Linked DNA regions of Styela clava. The protein of the gene in region 1 interacts with the protein of each later gene in a pairwise test. Links are inferred from orthologs where the notes say so. Each region holds a gene or a part of one and is shown in the gene's direction. Other genes may lie near its edges.

Region 1 (8,202 bases):
GTGATCTGTAGTTCGTGCCCCCTTTCCACCACTTCAAGCAGAGGGCAATAAATTGGGTACATTATGATAGTTCAATAGTTACCTATTAATCTTATGTTTTTGTTTACAGTAATCATTACTGTCATGTCATTATTTCATTGCGGGCCTCATTGGTCACCAGTATAAATACTGGCAGTCTGCCTTGATGATATGTTTAGCATGTGCTATGTCGGTTTGAGTTATTTGCTTTAATAATAAACTATTACTGACTTATCACATTATATCGTTAATTGTATTTCATTGAGCCACATTTAGAGCAGAAGAAACAACAGATATAAAACGATTTGGCAGTGTATGAGTCCCAAGTTAACCAAGGAAGTGAATCCCATTTTTTCACGATCAGTGATGGGATTTGGAATGTGTTCTCTTTTGTATCAAACTCGCTAACAACAGATACCATCATTTTAAAAAGAATATGTATGTCACTGCGTAAACTGCAATAAGATGACACACTTTACATTAATCCAATATGTAACCTTTGAAATGTCAAATATAACGCTAGTTGTCAGCTGTGGTGAACTTTCACATCATTTACTATGACCGTCTGAAAACGGATTCGCTAATTATCATGACATCCCAAAAACAGGTTCGGTCACCACTTGTTCCAATCTCATGCCCACTACCAAGGATGTAATTAAATTGGGTGGGCAATATAAAACAAAAGATTCGGGTCCTTCAAAAAAGGGTGGCTCCTTATGTATTAATGACTATGTATACAGAGCCTTGTTTAGAGTGCAGGTGTGAAATACCATAGACATAGAGAATATCACACAACTATTCTATCCTATCCATAATCTACAATGAAAATGGGATCGTTACGATACAAGTGTATTAGTACTTACTGCCCTTCAGGACTGAGGTCAGCCATGATGAGCATCCGATGTGTCGGTGTGGTAATCACATGATTGTTTTGTCGAAATTCATCACTTGGAGTTTTCACCACAATTTTCAAACCTCTTGCACCTTGGCCCCTGTAGAGTTTAAACGTATATTTATTAATATTTCCAATAATGTAAGCAATTTTCATTTTCAACAACCTCTTTGGGCATATTTAGAGCAATGAAATAACTTTCCCAAAATTATGCTCTGTATTTCAATCGCATGGATCACATGCAGATCATTATATTTTATAGTTGGGCAAATGAGAAAAGTACTTCCTAATAAAGATGTACAGAAATATAAAGTTATGTAAGCACTCATTAATTCATAAATTGATACCTATATGATTGATGGTGTATTAGATTTGACAATATTGATATCTTCGATGTCTGGTTTGGTTTTCAATATTGAATTTAGAAAGGATGCTTGTGTAGATCCAATAGCAGGTATAGTAAAATATTAAAATAGTAGAAAAGGATATTCATATTTATCACAAGCGGAGACGAAAGACGATAAGACAACTTATTCATAGGGCGAATCAAGACCTCTTGTCCAGTTACCAGTCGGAAATAGTTAACCAATTGCATCAACTGGATGGTCGGGGAATCCGAAACTCACCAGCTGTTATGTGAATCACCCTACGATAGCGAGGAGTCCGGCAATCCGACATCATCACCCCCAACGGTATTCGAACCTGCCTAGGCAGGGTAATCAGCGGTGCGGCAAACGCTGCCCTCAAACACAATCTCATCGTTGTTTGTAGATTGATATCAGTATTTACAAAAAATGTTTATGAGGTCACACACGAGTCCAGAACACGTGTTTTTTGTCTGTGACATATAAGCGTGGAACCGTGTTTTTCGAATTTATTGATTCTCAATATTGAATTATGTTCGATCACGTTTAAGTCCGAAATACATTTTTGCTGAGAAGCACAGATTAGTCGATGCCCCGTAGTTGAACTGGTGTCATATTCATTGGTACAACATGAAAAAGGCAGTTCTTCGACAAATATGATTAAACGACTAATATAAAATTATATAGGTTCAGGAAGCCGAGTGCAAATATACTTGCATTATATTCTGAAGGTTAATTGGTCAGGTAAAGTAGACGGATTGGATTTGTAAGTACCGTATGTTCTTCCGTCTCCGAAAAAATAATTGTCTAATGATTTTTATATCTTAGGGTCATTAGAGATTATAGGACATGGCACAGTGCAAGGCAATCTAAAACGCGATTGTGCGACGTTGTACTATACTAATTGGGCGGAAGAAAAAAAATACAGAAACTCCGCTGGTGAATAATTTGTATCTCCGAGAAATGATCAAAGTCTGATATCAAATTTATTCAATTACTTGTGCTATTCTAGAGTATCATTTAGTTTTACATCATTGCACTGATTTCGTTAACACAATTTATCGTTATCTTAGGGAACGAGTATGTCTTTATTGCAAAGTTCTTGACTGTTGAAGCAACATTAACAAATAGTTTGATGTAGCTGTTCGTATCAGGTACGGATTGTAGAAAGACCGCTCTTTAAAACACGCGTTTCGATCATTTCCCATGTTTGGCCAAACGTACTAGATGTAACTTTATTCATTTGTCATGAAAAATTAGTAAGAAATACGAGCGGAGCAAACAGTGTGGTCGGAAATGTACCAATTGCGCTTTGCAACAACAACAATACAATCGTTGTTGGCATTATCAAGTGCCGTTTATAGCTTAGTCCTTGTTTCTATTATGAGTTCAACCATTTGTACATAAACGACGCGTGCGGAAGGCCTTAAAAAGAGTCGACTGGACGCAGGGAGATCAATATCCGGTAATTAAAAGAATAATAAGGTTTGCGTTCAGGTCGTCGACAGCAATACTTGCGGATGTGATCGTGCGTTATTGACGCAACGTCGTAGAAAGGTGGGTGTGATCAAAATATGTTTGAAATTATAAATTTGAAAGCGTTATACATTAACAGGCAAATTAGTAGAAACGGGAATTTTGAAATGATCAAATGTATATTATGGTTTTATAATGATAGATCAGTTGACGGTAATTTGAAAACGAGATTTGTTAGATTGAGATTTTAGGTTGTTTGCTAGATTAAAAAACTTGTAAAACATGGCCTTAAATTGTAATGCGTCAATACAATACATTTATTTAACTACGAGACATTCGAAAAATATGACCAAAATGACTTAACACCACGTGTCACACGTTTCCAGTTTATAATCGAAAGAACAGCGAGGTTGCCAAAGAGGATAAATTCAATGATTAATTGATCGGGATATTTCAGTTAAGCCTACTTTAGTACCGAAACATTATTTTTGGGCTCGAGGGTATATTTCCCATCCAGTTTGCTCATAAGTACCGTCGCGGCAGATTATGGCGGGTGGTTTTGATTATGTATGAAATGAGTTCGATTTTTCGAGGAAAAGGTTATATTTTTGCGCTATCGGATGAAATTCATTCTAGGACGTGAGATTATAATTAAAATTCATTTCGCTGCATTAGTAACCCCTATCATAAATGCGTGATCAATTTTATTTACCTAGTCAAATTGTGAAACTTCTCGAATAAATATGGGCGTTGGCGGATATAGCCATTCAGCATGCCTGACGCAACGACGATAAGCACTGCGATTTTACTATTTATATAAAATTAACGATAGGTTACGCGTGATCGGTTTTGCAAAAATAAGTCGCTCCGATATGTTTCCATTTTATCGCTAATCGCCACTCGCGCTTCATAACAGTATTATGTAACTAAACGTTTTATAACCGTTTTGGTAAATATATATTTTGTTATTTTCGACGCGACAAACGCGAAAAAGGGAACTTCTACGAATCATGGCAATCGTGGTTTACGTCACGTATTCGTAATTTTGTAGACAATGCTCTACGATCAGAGATAGGAAAACAAACACGACAGATCGCATTATCGCGAGTACATTGCGTTTTGATGTTGCGTCTAGGCCACAGACGGTGTAAGATTGCTAGTTACATAAAATGCAGAATATATAAGTATAAGATGCGCCGTTGTTGATACCACAGAGCGGGTATGTACTGTGAGCAGTCGTTTAGATTTTAGACTTCAGAAAACTCTATATCACTTCTACAATAGTTATTTTAACGCGGTATTGGATATTATATAACTGTAAAGTTTGAAACACTGCAAAATGTAGTATAACCACTGCGTCATAGATTGACATAGCAATTATACTGATTGATAGCGTGATTAGAAATCGAATGAATGGCATATATTATAAGTATCGCAGTGAACGTTGCTGGTAGAACTCATACGGTATTTGCTTTTTATGGGTTGTTTGATATGTAAACACTGTTTTTGATTTCCAAGATATACAAGGAATATACGAGTTTGCAGATAGATAAGCTCACGGGCACGATTTCACATAAGGTTGTTTGTCTGGTATAAGATCGCGAGCATACACTTTCAAGTTTTATGATCGTATGCAAAGAGGGAAGAAACGCGAGCGACGGTACTGTGTCGTGGCCAAATGTAAGATAACCAGTGTTGGGATAGGATCTGCAGTGGAAGCATTAAATTTTAGGAACCTTCTATGCGACGGAAAATTTTTCCCGATTTTTAATTCTTTCCGCTAATTCGCTGTGCATTCCTACATCTTATTTGGTTGATTTAGGTAAACATTCATTCGGCACATAACAAATATATGTCGCCGAATATGTCTAGTTAAAATCGGGGCATCGAGGTATTCGGGCGTTGTTCAAATATATAAAGAAACTGTGTTCTTCAATATAGGGACGTACAAACTTTGCAAAATAACAGAAACTTGCAGATGGCACAGGTGTTAGAAATAGCGTAATAAATATACCCGTCATATTCAGCGCCTTCACTAAGCTTGTGATTAACGACACTTCAGGCTTGGCGGGATATCCGGGAATTGTTTGAAAGCAGGGTTATTATTGCTAAGCGTGATTGCCAGTCAAATTACTTGCACGCATCCGTGAAAGCAGAGCGCTAGTTTGTTCAGTCTCGTTATTGATGGGAGTTAAATTGAGTGGAGTGACTTCAGCGCATTTATTTACAAAGTGTGTTTTATCTTTACTTTACTATCTTTTACACTAATTTTAGCAATGGCGTACGTAAATCTAAGCAAAGATTTGCCTGACATTGAAAACATATTGGCGTTGAATCCACGGACAAAACATCATGCTACCTTGACAACGACTGTTGCTACAAAGAAAGCGCGTAAGCACTGGAAGAGAAATTCGGACAAATCTTGTTCCACATGTAAACCATTGAAAAACGATTTTGACGATATCAAACATACGACTTTGAGTGAGCGTGGAGCGTTAAAGGAAGCGGCGAGATGCTTGAAATGCGCCGATGCACCATGTCAGAAGAGCTGTCCCACTCAGCTAGATATTAAGTCTTTCATTACTAGCATTGCAAATAAAAATTACTATGGTGCAGCTAAACAGATTTTCTCCGATAATCCTCTCGGACTCACTTGTGGAATGGTATGCCCAACAAGTGATTTATGTGTTGGTGGGTGCAATCTGTATGGTTCGGAAGAAGGTCCTATAAATATTGGCGGGTTACAGCAGTTTGCAACAGAGATATTTCGTGATATGAGAATCCCACAGATACGTGACCCGTCTATTGGGGATGAAATTCAGAAACCAGCTTACAAGCAAAAGATTGCTTTAATTGGTTGTGGACCAGCAAGCATAAGTTGTGCTACATTTCTAGCAAGACTTGGATATTCAGATATCACTATATTCGAAAAAATGGACTACATTGGAGGATTGAGTACATCTGAGATTCCTCAATTTCGACTACCTTATAATGTTGTTTCATTTGAAGTTGATTTGATGAAAGATTTGGGAGTTAAAGTTGAAACTGGAAAAGCTCTTAAAGCAGGTGAAATTACATTAAAATCATTGAAAAAAGACAACTACACAAGTGTCTTTGTTGGTATTGGACTACCCGAACCAAAGAAAATCCCTGTATTCAAAGATCTCACGAGGGATAATGGATATTATAGCTCAAAAGAGTTTCTTCCCTTAGTTGCTCGAGGCTCAAAGCCTGGTATGTGCTCATGTAAAACTCAGCTTCCATCATTTATCGGTGGTGTAGTTATTGTTCTTGGATCAGGGGATACAGCTTTTGATTGTGCCACTTCAGCATTAAGGTGTGGAGCACGCCGGGTATTTGTAGTTTTCCGCAAAGGATTCACAAATATTAGAGCTGTGCCCGAAGAGATGGAGCTGGCTAGAGAAGAAAAATGTGAATTTTTACCTTTCCTGTCTCCATTGAAAGTCTTCCAAGGTGAGAATGGCAAAATTACAGGCATGGAATTCGTGCGCACCACTCAAGATGATGATGGCAATTGGGTAGAAGATTATGAGCAGACAACAAAGTTGAAGGCAAATTATATCTTGTCAGCATTTGGATCTTCTTTGACAGATACCGATGTGCAAGATGCATTGGATCCGATTAAATTCAATTCTTGGGGTTTTCCCGAAGTTGATACCAACACAATGGTTTCAAGTGAGCCATGGGTTTTCTGCGGTGGTGATATTGCAGGCCAAGCACATACAACAGTGGAAGCAGTAAATGATGGAAAAACAGCAGCCTGGTATATGCATAAATATCTTCAGAGTTGCCATGGCCAAAGTGTATCAGAAGTCCCAAGGTTGCCAAATTTCTTTACAGCAATAGATAAAGTTGATGTAAGCATAGAGCTGTGTGGTATGAAATTTCCAAATCCCTTTGGACTAGCAAGTGCACCTCCAACGACAACATCTGCAATGATACGACGTGCATTCGAAGAAGGTTGGGGATTTGCTCTAACAAAAACATTTTCTCTAGAAAAAGATATTGTGACTAATGTGTCACCTCGTATTGTTAGAGGAACAACATCCGGTCAACTTTATGGTCCAGGACAAGGATCGTTTTTGAACATTGAGCTCATTAGTGAAAAAAGTCGTCAGTATTGGTGCCAAAGTATAACTGAACTGAAGAAGGATTTCCCAGAAAAAATATTGATTGCAAGTATCATGTGTGGTTATAACAAAGAAGACTGGACTGAACTAGCTCAAGCAGCAACGGAAGCTGGATCTGATGCCTTAGAGCTGAATCTTTCTTGTCCCCATGGCATGGGAGAACGAGGGATGGGGCTGGCTTGTGGGCAAGATCCTGAACTTGTTAGGAATATATGTAGGTGGGTGAGAGCTGCAAGTAAGCTACCTTTCTTTGCAAAACTTACACCAAATGTTACAAATATCGTTACGATTGCTACTGCTGCAAAGGAGGGAGGTGCTGATGGTGTAACAGCAACAAACACGGTATCTGGACTGATGGGATTACATTCAGATGGAAGTGCTTGGCCCAGAGTAGGAGCTAGTAAGAAAACAACATATGGAGGAATGTCAGGCAATGCAATACGTCCTATTGCCCTCCGTGCTGTTTCAGCAATTGCTCGTGCCCTTCCTGGATTTCCTATTTTAGCAACAGGTGGTATCGATTCTGCAGAGGTTGGCTTGCAATACCTCCAGGCTGGAGCAACTGTTCTTCAAGTGTGCAGTGCAATCCAAAATCAAGATTTCACTTTAATCCAAGATTATGTGAATGGATTGAAAGCGTTGCTATATATGCAATCCTCTGAAGAATATAAGAGTTGGAATGGACAGTCACCAGTCACACCAAGACACCAGCTTGGAAAAAAGGCCTATAATATGTCCAGCATGATCGGAAAAGATCTACCTCACTTTGGTCCATTCAAAAAAGAAAGACAAACAGTTGTTGCGCAATCCAAAGAATCTTTAGATATCAGTAACACATCAGCAACTCCCGCATCCCTAAATATTCCCATGCGAAAAATAGTGTCAGTTAGTGATGTAATCGGTGCAGCTTTACCAATGATTGGAGCATACAATGATTTGAACAACAAAGAACAAGTTGTTGCTGTTATCGACCCTGAAATGTGTATTAATTGTGGAAAATGTTACATGGCTTGCAATGATTCAGGATATCAAGCAATTGTGTTTGATCCAGTCACTCATCTTCCAACGGTAAATGACTCTTGTACAGGATGCACACTTTGTGCAAGTGTATGTCCTATTATCGATTGTATAAAAATGGAGAAACGAGAAACTCCTTACATTCCCAATAGAGGAATCCCAATTACAGTTGGAGTTTTAAGTTAGGTTGAGTCAAGTAAATTGCATCCACAATTTACAACTTTTGTACATTTAAATGTCACTACAAGATCATTGTTCACAATAATTGTACTAGTTGTACACC
Region 2 (7,591 bases), about 3.4 Mb from region 1:
ATGTCATCTTCTACATTTCAAAAATGAATAAATTTAACATACATAAGTATATAATAATAATATTTCTATTGCCAATGCTTTATAATTTTGGAAAGAAGCAACTGCTGTGTGATTCCCGTCAATGTACAACATTTCTATATATCGTTGGATATAAAATTATGAAAGTGAACACTACTCGGATTGTGGGTAAAAAATTTCCGTAAATTAACACAGGTTTATTTTTTTAAATTATCTTTCAAACAGTCCTTTGTATTACTATGACAGGGTCATAAACTTGTAAACGAACGCATTACTGCATTAGGTTACTTTTTCTTTCTGTTTTCATATTTTGTCCAAGGATCAAAGTTGTTTAGTACCGGTACCCCTACTGGGGTTGAGATAATATCAAGTTATATCGTAGTAGCAGTAACGCTAGTCCCCAAACTCGTTATAGAACTAAAAAAAGGAAAATTGGAAAAAAAATTACGGCCTAACCCTAGCCTGGTACACATACTACGCCACACTAACTACTCAGAAAATCCCATGACAATCAGTGGACATAAAAATGCCTATTAAAGTGCCCGATTATATTTTGTTTTGATTCGTATTTTTGTGAATTCGACAAATCTGAGCTGTTCGTACAACACTTACTGCGCTCCAGTACTGTACGTACCAATGTGAAGGCAGTAAAGCAAAGAATCCTAAGGGAAAATGCCCTGGTACGTATACTACGGTAGCACCCGAAATTTTGCGATTTGCAATGTATAAAAAAGCGTTTTAATCGGTCGCGGACCATCATAAAACAAAACTTATGGTGTTTATTTTTAGTATTTTGTATTGTCGCTTTTCAATTTACAAAATTTGGGTTGCCGCCATTGATATGTACCAGAAATAAAATTTATTCCTCGTTGTTCGAACTCGCGAGAAACACCACTCAGGTAAGTAAGTTGGGAAATCTAATTTCGATTGAGCGACGCGCAAGTGACCTGTCGCGTCACATGTTAGTCATATCAGTAACCAGAATTATTGACTCGATTAATGCTATGACAATAAACTTACTTTTTATGTTTTATGTAAATTCTGACGTAAATCGTAACTTGGCTGATATTTAAGTTTCGCAAAAACGTTTGTGGCCCGCAATGAATTTCTGGCTCGTTGCGGACTCAAACCGTAAATTCATTTGACACCGCGGACTCGGGTTGGGAAACTCTGCATTAAATAAACGAAACTTCAAATGCATTATTTAATTAAATAGGTACAAGGGCAATGAATGGCTCAAAATATGGATACAAATGCCGCACATCGGTACCAGTACGAAAACTGTATTGAATTTCCACGAGCATCGTTTTCCTTGATTATTTCCGTAACAATGGCCAATCAGCAAAAAGTCAACGATGACGTAACAATTAAATTTTTTGAAGCCGCTTAGACAGATATTCAAGCATGACTGTAAACAATCCTCGTTTTTGCGGATTCGCGTGTTATCTGAAAATTAGTTGTGAATGAAGTATTTTAATTTTTTTAGGCGCGGCGGTGTGGCTCAACGGGCTAAGCGTTACGCTCGCCACCGCACCTCTAACTACTCTGCGTGGGTTCGCAGGTTCGAATCCCATGCAGGGATGGTTATGTGCGAGAGGATTGCTGGACTCCTCGCCGTCGTTGGGTGGTTCACGTAACCGCTGGTCGGTTACGGCTTCCTCCACCACCAAATCCATGCTTCCAAAAACAAACAATACAGTAAAACTAATCCCATACCCGACTTGGAATGGTAACCGGACGAGAGGCCGTGGTTCGCCATATGGATAAGCCGTCTTATCGGCTTTCCTCTCCCCCGGGATAAATATGTAAATCCTATCCTTAATTGTCATTAGTCAAGACTCAAGAGGGTCAAGAGTTAGCTCAATCAAAAATTAGTCCCGGGTAAGCTGCGATAGACCGGTATGCTCAAAAGAGCGTGTAAGTGGCACGTGGTTGTATATTTCAATAAAAGCAATGGTTTTGAGCAAGTAAAACAGTCTCTGAAACACTCGTAAAATAGGTACCCATCCAAAATTTTGCAATAGTAAAGTAGGCTATAGGGAGAATTTTGCTGGGCTCAAAGGTCGGGGAAACATCCTATGGATCTTTCCATCCTGTGTATGTAAATAGTATCAAAATCATCTGAAACTAGTAGTAGTATTTTATTTCGTCAACAATGTCAAATAGTTAACATACAACATTTTAAAATTAACTGTAAGGCATTGTGACGAGGCTGTAACGAAGCGACCGTTAGGTCATCCAGGGGTCGGTCGCTTCGCTACCCGCGAGGGGAAATGTAAAGAAATGTGTTTAGTAAGGTAAAAAGTAGGTGTTTGTTCTGATTTTGTTGGAAGACCCTGGTCGTTGCGCCCGACCTTTTTAGTCCATTAAATAGTTTAAATACTAGGTTAGAAACTGATCATCCCCAATGGGAATCAAGTTTTATTAATTTTAGGGCCCGTGATCACTCAACTGTGACGAATTTTTTTTGACATAAACTAGACCTCAATTAACTTGTATGACCCAAATATGGCATCTCTACCTATTACCATTCTCGAGATATAACGTAAAATCACTGGAGCATGACTGAGGAGTTGGAGAAAAAAAATTCCTTCAAAATAGATTCAAATAATTTTTCCAAATATACCCATGCTTTCACTTTCTCAATATGTCCTTTCAGAGGCCTGCAATAAGCCAAAATCACTAAAGCGTGACTGGGGAGTAAGAGAACAAAAATTTCTTCAAAACAATGTTAAGCTAATTTTTCCAACCATACCTATCTATTTCATTTCTCAATAGCTCTATTTTTAAGTGCGCAACCTTCTTACGCCACTGGAGGGCGATTGGGAGGGGGAAACACCGATTTTTCAGTAAAGAAAATTTCAAATAATTATACTCTTTGAGAATTAGGCAAATCTTGGCCCAAAACCCCATTCACATGCCTCAGAAATCCCTAAAAACAATAGAACCTAAGTGCGCGTGGCTTTGCACGAGTTTTCTCACCACAGAGGGCGTGGGGGCACAGCCCCCACCGCCAAAAAGACTTGGAAAAAAATTCCTAATACTCGGGCAAACGCTTTCCGGCCCCGGAAACTTAGCTAAACGGCCTCTGAACCCCTAAATCACTCTAGCGTGACTTGATTGACAGCTGATTGACCAATGAACAGCCTCGGGCCACAAAAACCCCGTTTTGACCCCTTTCCTCTGGCCCGATCGTTTCCAAAAATTTTCTGCGTCATGCGGACAGGGATACCTGACTAGTTAGACTGGGCATTCGCACTAAAGTGCGACAGGTTGCGAGACCATCGAGTCAGTCACAGCCATTCAGGTTCAGGTGTGATATAACCTCAGGGTTATATACACCTCAATGGCCACAGCCTTCAACAAAAATATAATATTATCATTTTGTCAACGAAATTGAGCTAAAGTAACACACACTGAAAATGAATTAACACAGAAGAGAAAAAAACAAAACTCAATTGAATATGTTAAAACACAGTAGTTTTTTGCCCTCCTACCATCAGTGACCGATGGTGTGAGTATGTTACTTGTTTTTAAAAAGTTTGCGGGCGAAGCCTGCATACCTGCAGTCTTTTATTTCCTGACTAATTTCATTCCAAATAACCGGACCTTGAAACAATATGGATTTTTGTAAAATCGAGTCTGACCTTGGAACAAATAGGTTGTGCCGTGATTGTGGATTAAACCCATGTTTTAAGAATAATTCATAAAAGTATTTGGAGAACAGTTTTGTTTCGTGCGGTGCACAAAATTTGCCACTTCATAACTATGCTTGTGCTGCCAAAATAAACAAGTGGACGCGGTCCAAATCGAATGGTCAAAAGGTCCGGATTCGGACCGCGATCCGCCAGTTGAGTAGCCCTATGCTAGCCTATACCTTCAGAGCCCCGATCTTTGTGTTACGTTAAGGTTAAGCCATAGTATTCATATATCAGTATATGTTCAGTATGGTCTGATGGTACGGTACCGTACCGGTAATTACTGAATTATAAAACCACAAGACAGCAAGATGTACACTGATCTTTAGGGGAGGCGGACAACTCGACTACACGGACAACTCACCAGAGACAACTCGACTACCTAGAGGCCTGGTGAGTTGTCCGTCTTTTGGCATTTTCTACCTCTACAGTGGTGTTTTAGGTCTATAGAAATGCTTTTTGATATTTTTAGTGCTCAAATGTTGAGAAAAATACATAAATATGCTTCAGTCATATCTTCAGTCCTATAAGTCAACAGTCTAACTTCGCTAAATTCTTTCTAGAGCATATTTATGTATTTTTTCTCAACATTTGAGCACTAAAAATATCAAAAACGCATTTCTATAGACCTAAAACACCACCGTAGAAAATGCCAAAAGAAGGACAACTCACCAGGCCTCTAGGTAGTCGCGTTGTCCGTCAGTCCGTCAATCAGGCTGTCTGGTTCAGTGATGCAAGTACCGTATTTTACCAAAATATCCACTTTTTATCGATTACAGCTTGTTGGCTTGGATTGCATTAACTTATAAATATGACTAGTGCAGCATCACTTTTATCAGCATTTGATTTACTGGAGAAAGAGTTTGATCGAGCTTATGTGGACCTTGACCTACTTCTCGGTGATACAGAACTTGATGATGTTGATGATATTTTGCAAACAGCGAAAGAGAAGATGAGTTCTCTCAGTTCATGTTTTTCTCAGTTATGCCACAAATCACAAAGTGCTGCTCAGAGGAATGTAAAATTAGAGGTAGGTTGGAAGGAAATTATAATTTAATATGAATTTTTATCCACAGGGTCATGAAATAATGCTGATAAGATGACTTAATCATGTTGCAAACCATGGTTGCTCATCCATTCTTTAATTCGGATTGAGCATCTAATTGATTCTATTCTGTCTTTTCGAGTACCCATGTAGTCTATTCTGTCTTTTCGAGTACTCATGTGGTCATCTTCTTTGACTAAAACACAATTCTGCAATTGAATAAATTTAGGCAGAACTCATTCACTATCGAACTGAATTATTGGATTGTCGTGCAGAAGTGGAGGCATTAAAAGCAGAATCAAACACACTTCTTTGTCAAATCCACGCACTTCAACTTCAATTACACAGCACAACAACTTCAGATCCAATGGATGCAACAAAAATAAAAGAAAATCTGGTATTGTATTATTTTTCTATCTTTGTAAATTAAAACTGATTTTGTGAACTGACAGCAATTCCCATTATGCACTAAGTATTGTATAGCATTTATGTCATTTTGGTTTAGTTCAATTTATTTTGAAAATCAACAAACATCTCTTATCTATATCTGTTTTGCTTTTCAACATTCTAACTTCTTAAAATAAATATTCTCCAGGAACAAGAATTAAGAAATTTTAAGAAAGATGCGAAAGAGCAAGCATTATTAGGAGAAACTGTGAAATTATATGAAACTCAAAATGAGAAACTCAAAGAAAGGTTAGCATTGTCGGAGAAAGAGTTGTTTGGTGCAAGATTGGCTGCAAAATATCTTGACAAAGAGTTAGCAGGAAGGTAATATGACACCAGAAACAGGAATGTACAATTCTGTTATATATTTTTATTGGTTCCATTACATTTGAACCCACGTACATTTGAACCCATGACAATTGCACCTGTATGCTATTGCACCTATGGAATTTTTTTTGTTTCACGGATAGTTAAACCCATACTAACCCTAACCCATGGGTTTTAGCACCCGCATATAGATTGAACCAGTGGATATACGCATGGGTTCAAATGTACGTGGGTTCAAATGTACGGTCACCATTTTTATTATTTATATTGCTCTAAATTCTTTCTTTATATTTTTTGTTGAACATCGATTTTTTATAGTAAATTGGTTGGATATTGAATGTTTTACCAACATTAATTAGATTTATTTATTTTCTAAATTTCTTCATATGTGTTACTGGGCTAGCCCTTTTTCTGCGGTTAATTAAAGCCTTAGATTTACTAAGATACTGTGTTGACCTCGCAGATTTCACATCTCTGATTCAAATTCCATGGTCCCCCCAACTCACCCAGGGTGTAATAATTTGGGTAGTTACGTTAATACCAAACCAGAAAGATTCCGGTCTCTCCAAATAATAGAAGCTACTTATATATTGCTAGATATCGGTGGCTTCTTGTATAAAGTCTTGTTCGGAGAGAAAGGCATGAATAAGTGCCGTATAAAAATATTATATGTAATCTCATATTCAAAAACCTGTTACTAACCCACAAGTGCATCTGGAATGCAAATACATCAACATTTGTGAAAATGATTGCATCGGTGAAAGATACAAATGTATCATGTGATCATTCTCATATTTTGTTGTTTTTAAACATTCAGAATTCAACAAATTCAACTTTTGGGAAGAAATATACAAACAAATAATTTTGAAAAGATGTGGAGTCAGTTAGAAGCTGAAATTCATTTACATCGACATAAAACAGTCATAAAAGCTTGCAGGGGAAATGGAAATCTACCTTCACCCCCACAGCATGTAAGAATGAAATGCTTCACTTTGGAATATATTTTGTAAATTGAAAGTTACATGGCACCTTAGTGCAAAATCCTAACATATTTATAGAAGCTGTTGTATTGCTTCATGCGTGGATTTTTTTGCCAAATATTTTTGATTGTTGGTATTCAATATATGTCCGAAAATGTCACTCTGTTCGTGGGTAATACCAGAAGAGAACATATGTGGAAATCTTGGTTATGATATATGACGCAAAAGTTGACTGTTATATTTTCAAACTTTTTTTGCCAAGAGTAATCAAATTTTTTAGCAGAAATTAATAAAGTCTCCCACATCAGAGTGGCCCAAATTTGGTTATAACAAGAGTTGGAGTCCAAATAAAATTTGATGAGCAATTTGAAAATGGTTTTAATCTGATAGAACTTCACGTCCATTTGTTTATTTATTTTTTGCTCACTTAAAGTTACGCTTGCTATATTTTTTGACAGATAAATAATGATGGTCCACAAAACCAAGGTGTTGGTCATGTGAGAAAGGTTACAATTGAAAAAAGGCCTGAAGAGGGTTTAGGAATATCAATTACGGTAAGTGGAGTATTTTTCTATTTGCTTATCCATGGGAATTTCTCAGTTGAGATTCATGGCAGCAAAAAATTTAAAGTTTACATTTCTGTTTTCAAAGGTAATTCATGATATATGTAAGGAATCCATCGATCCAATATAATGTTATGAATCATTTTCCAGTGTAAAAGTATTCGTATAGTTTGATTTAAATTAAATGGATTCAATCTGTAAGGTTACCCCTGTAACATAGGATGTTTTTAAAATATTTATTTTATTCGCAACACTGATTACAATGTTGCAGATAAAATAAGTATCTATTCAATGTGTATAATCAATATTTCATCAAATATTCATACACTTGCCTCATACTTGGGCAGCTTTGAGGTCTGTGATTAGGAAATACATTTATCAGCTGTTTTATTAACCTTTCCACTCGAGTTTTGGATCTGATTCAGTTGTTGTTTCAAGATCTGATGCACTATTTTCTTTCCTGTAGTATTGCAATCGGTATATTTTAGGAATCTATGAACTGTAATAATATCA

Evidence for each region.
Region 2: the proteins of dihydropyrimidine dehydrogenase [NADP(+)]-like (region 1) and Golgi-associated PDZ and coiled-coil motif-containing protein-like interact in a two-hybrid assay, tested with the Homo sapiens proteins (2 studies listed by BioGRID and IntAct). The link is inferred for Styela clava from reciprocal best matches to the Homo sapiens genes DPYD and GOPC.

The regions. Positions count from the first base shown.
Region 1 is NC_135257.1:11,297,733-11,305,934, reverse strand, and holds the start of dihydropyrimidine dehydrogenase [NADP(+)]-like, read left to right. Parts: upstream 1-4,938; 5' UTR 4,939-5,027; coding exon 5,028-8,105; 3' UTR 8,106-8,202. Other genes in the region: tectonic-like complex member MKS1, read right to left, coding at 882-1,010.
Region 2 is NC_135257.1:14,746,849-14,754,439, reverse strand, and holds the start of Golgi-associated PDZ and coiled-coil motif-containing protein-like, read left to right. Parts: upstream 1-4,477; 5' UTR 4,478-4,527; coding exon 4,528-4,746; intron 4,747-4,990; coding exon 4,991-5,158; intron 5,159-5,356; coding exon 5,357-5,532; intron 5,533-6,352; coding exon 6,353-6,506; intron 6,507-6,973; coding exon 6,974-7,069; intron 7,070-7,591.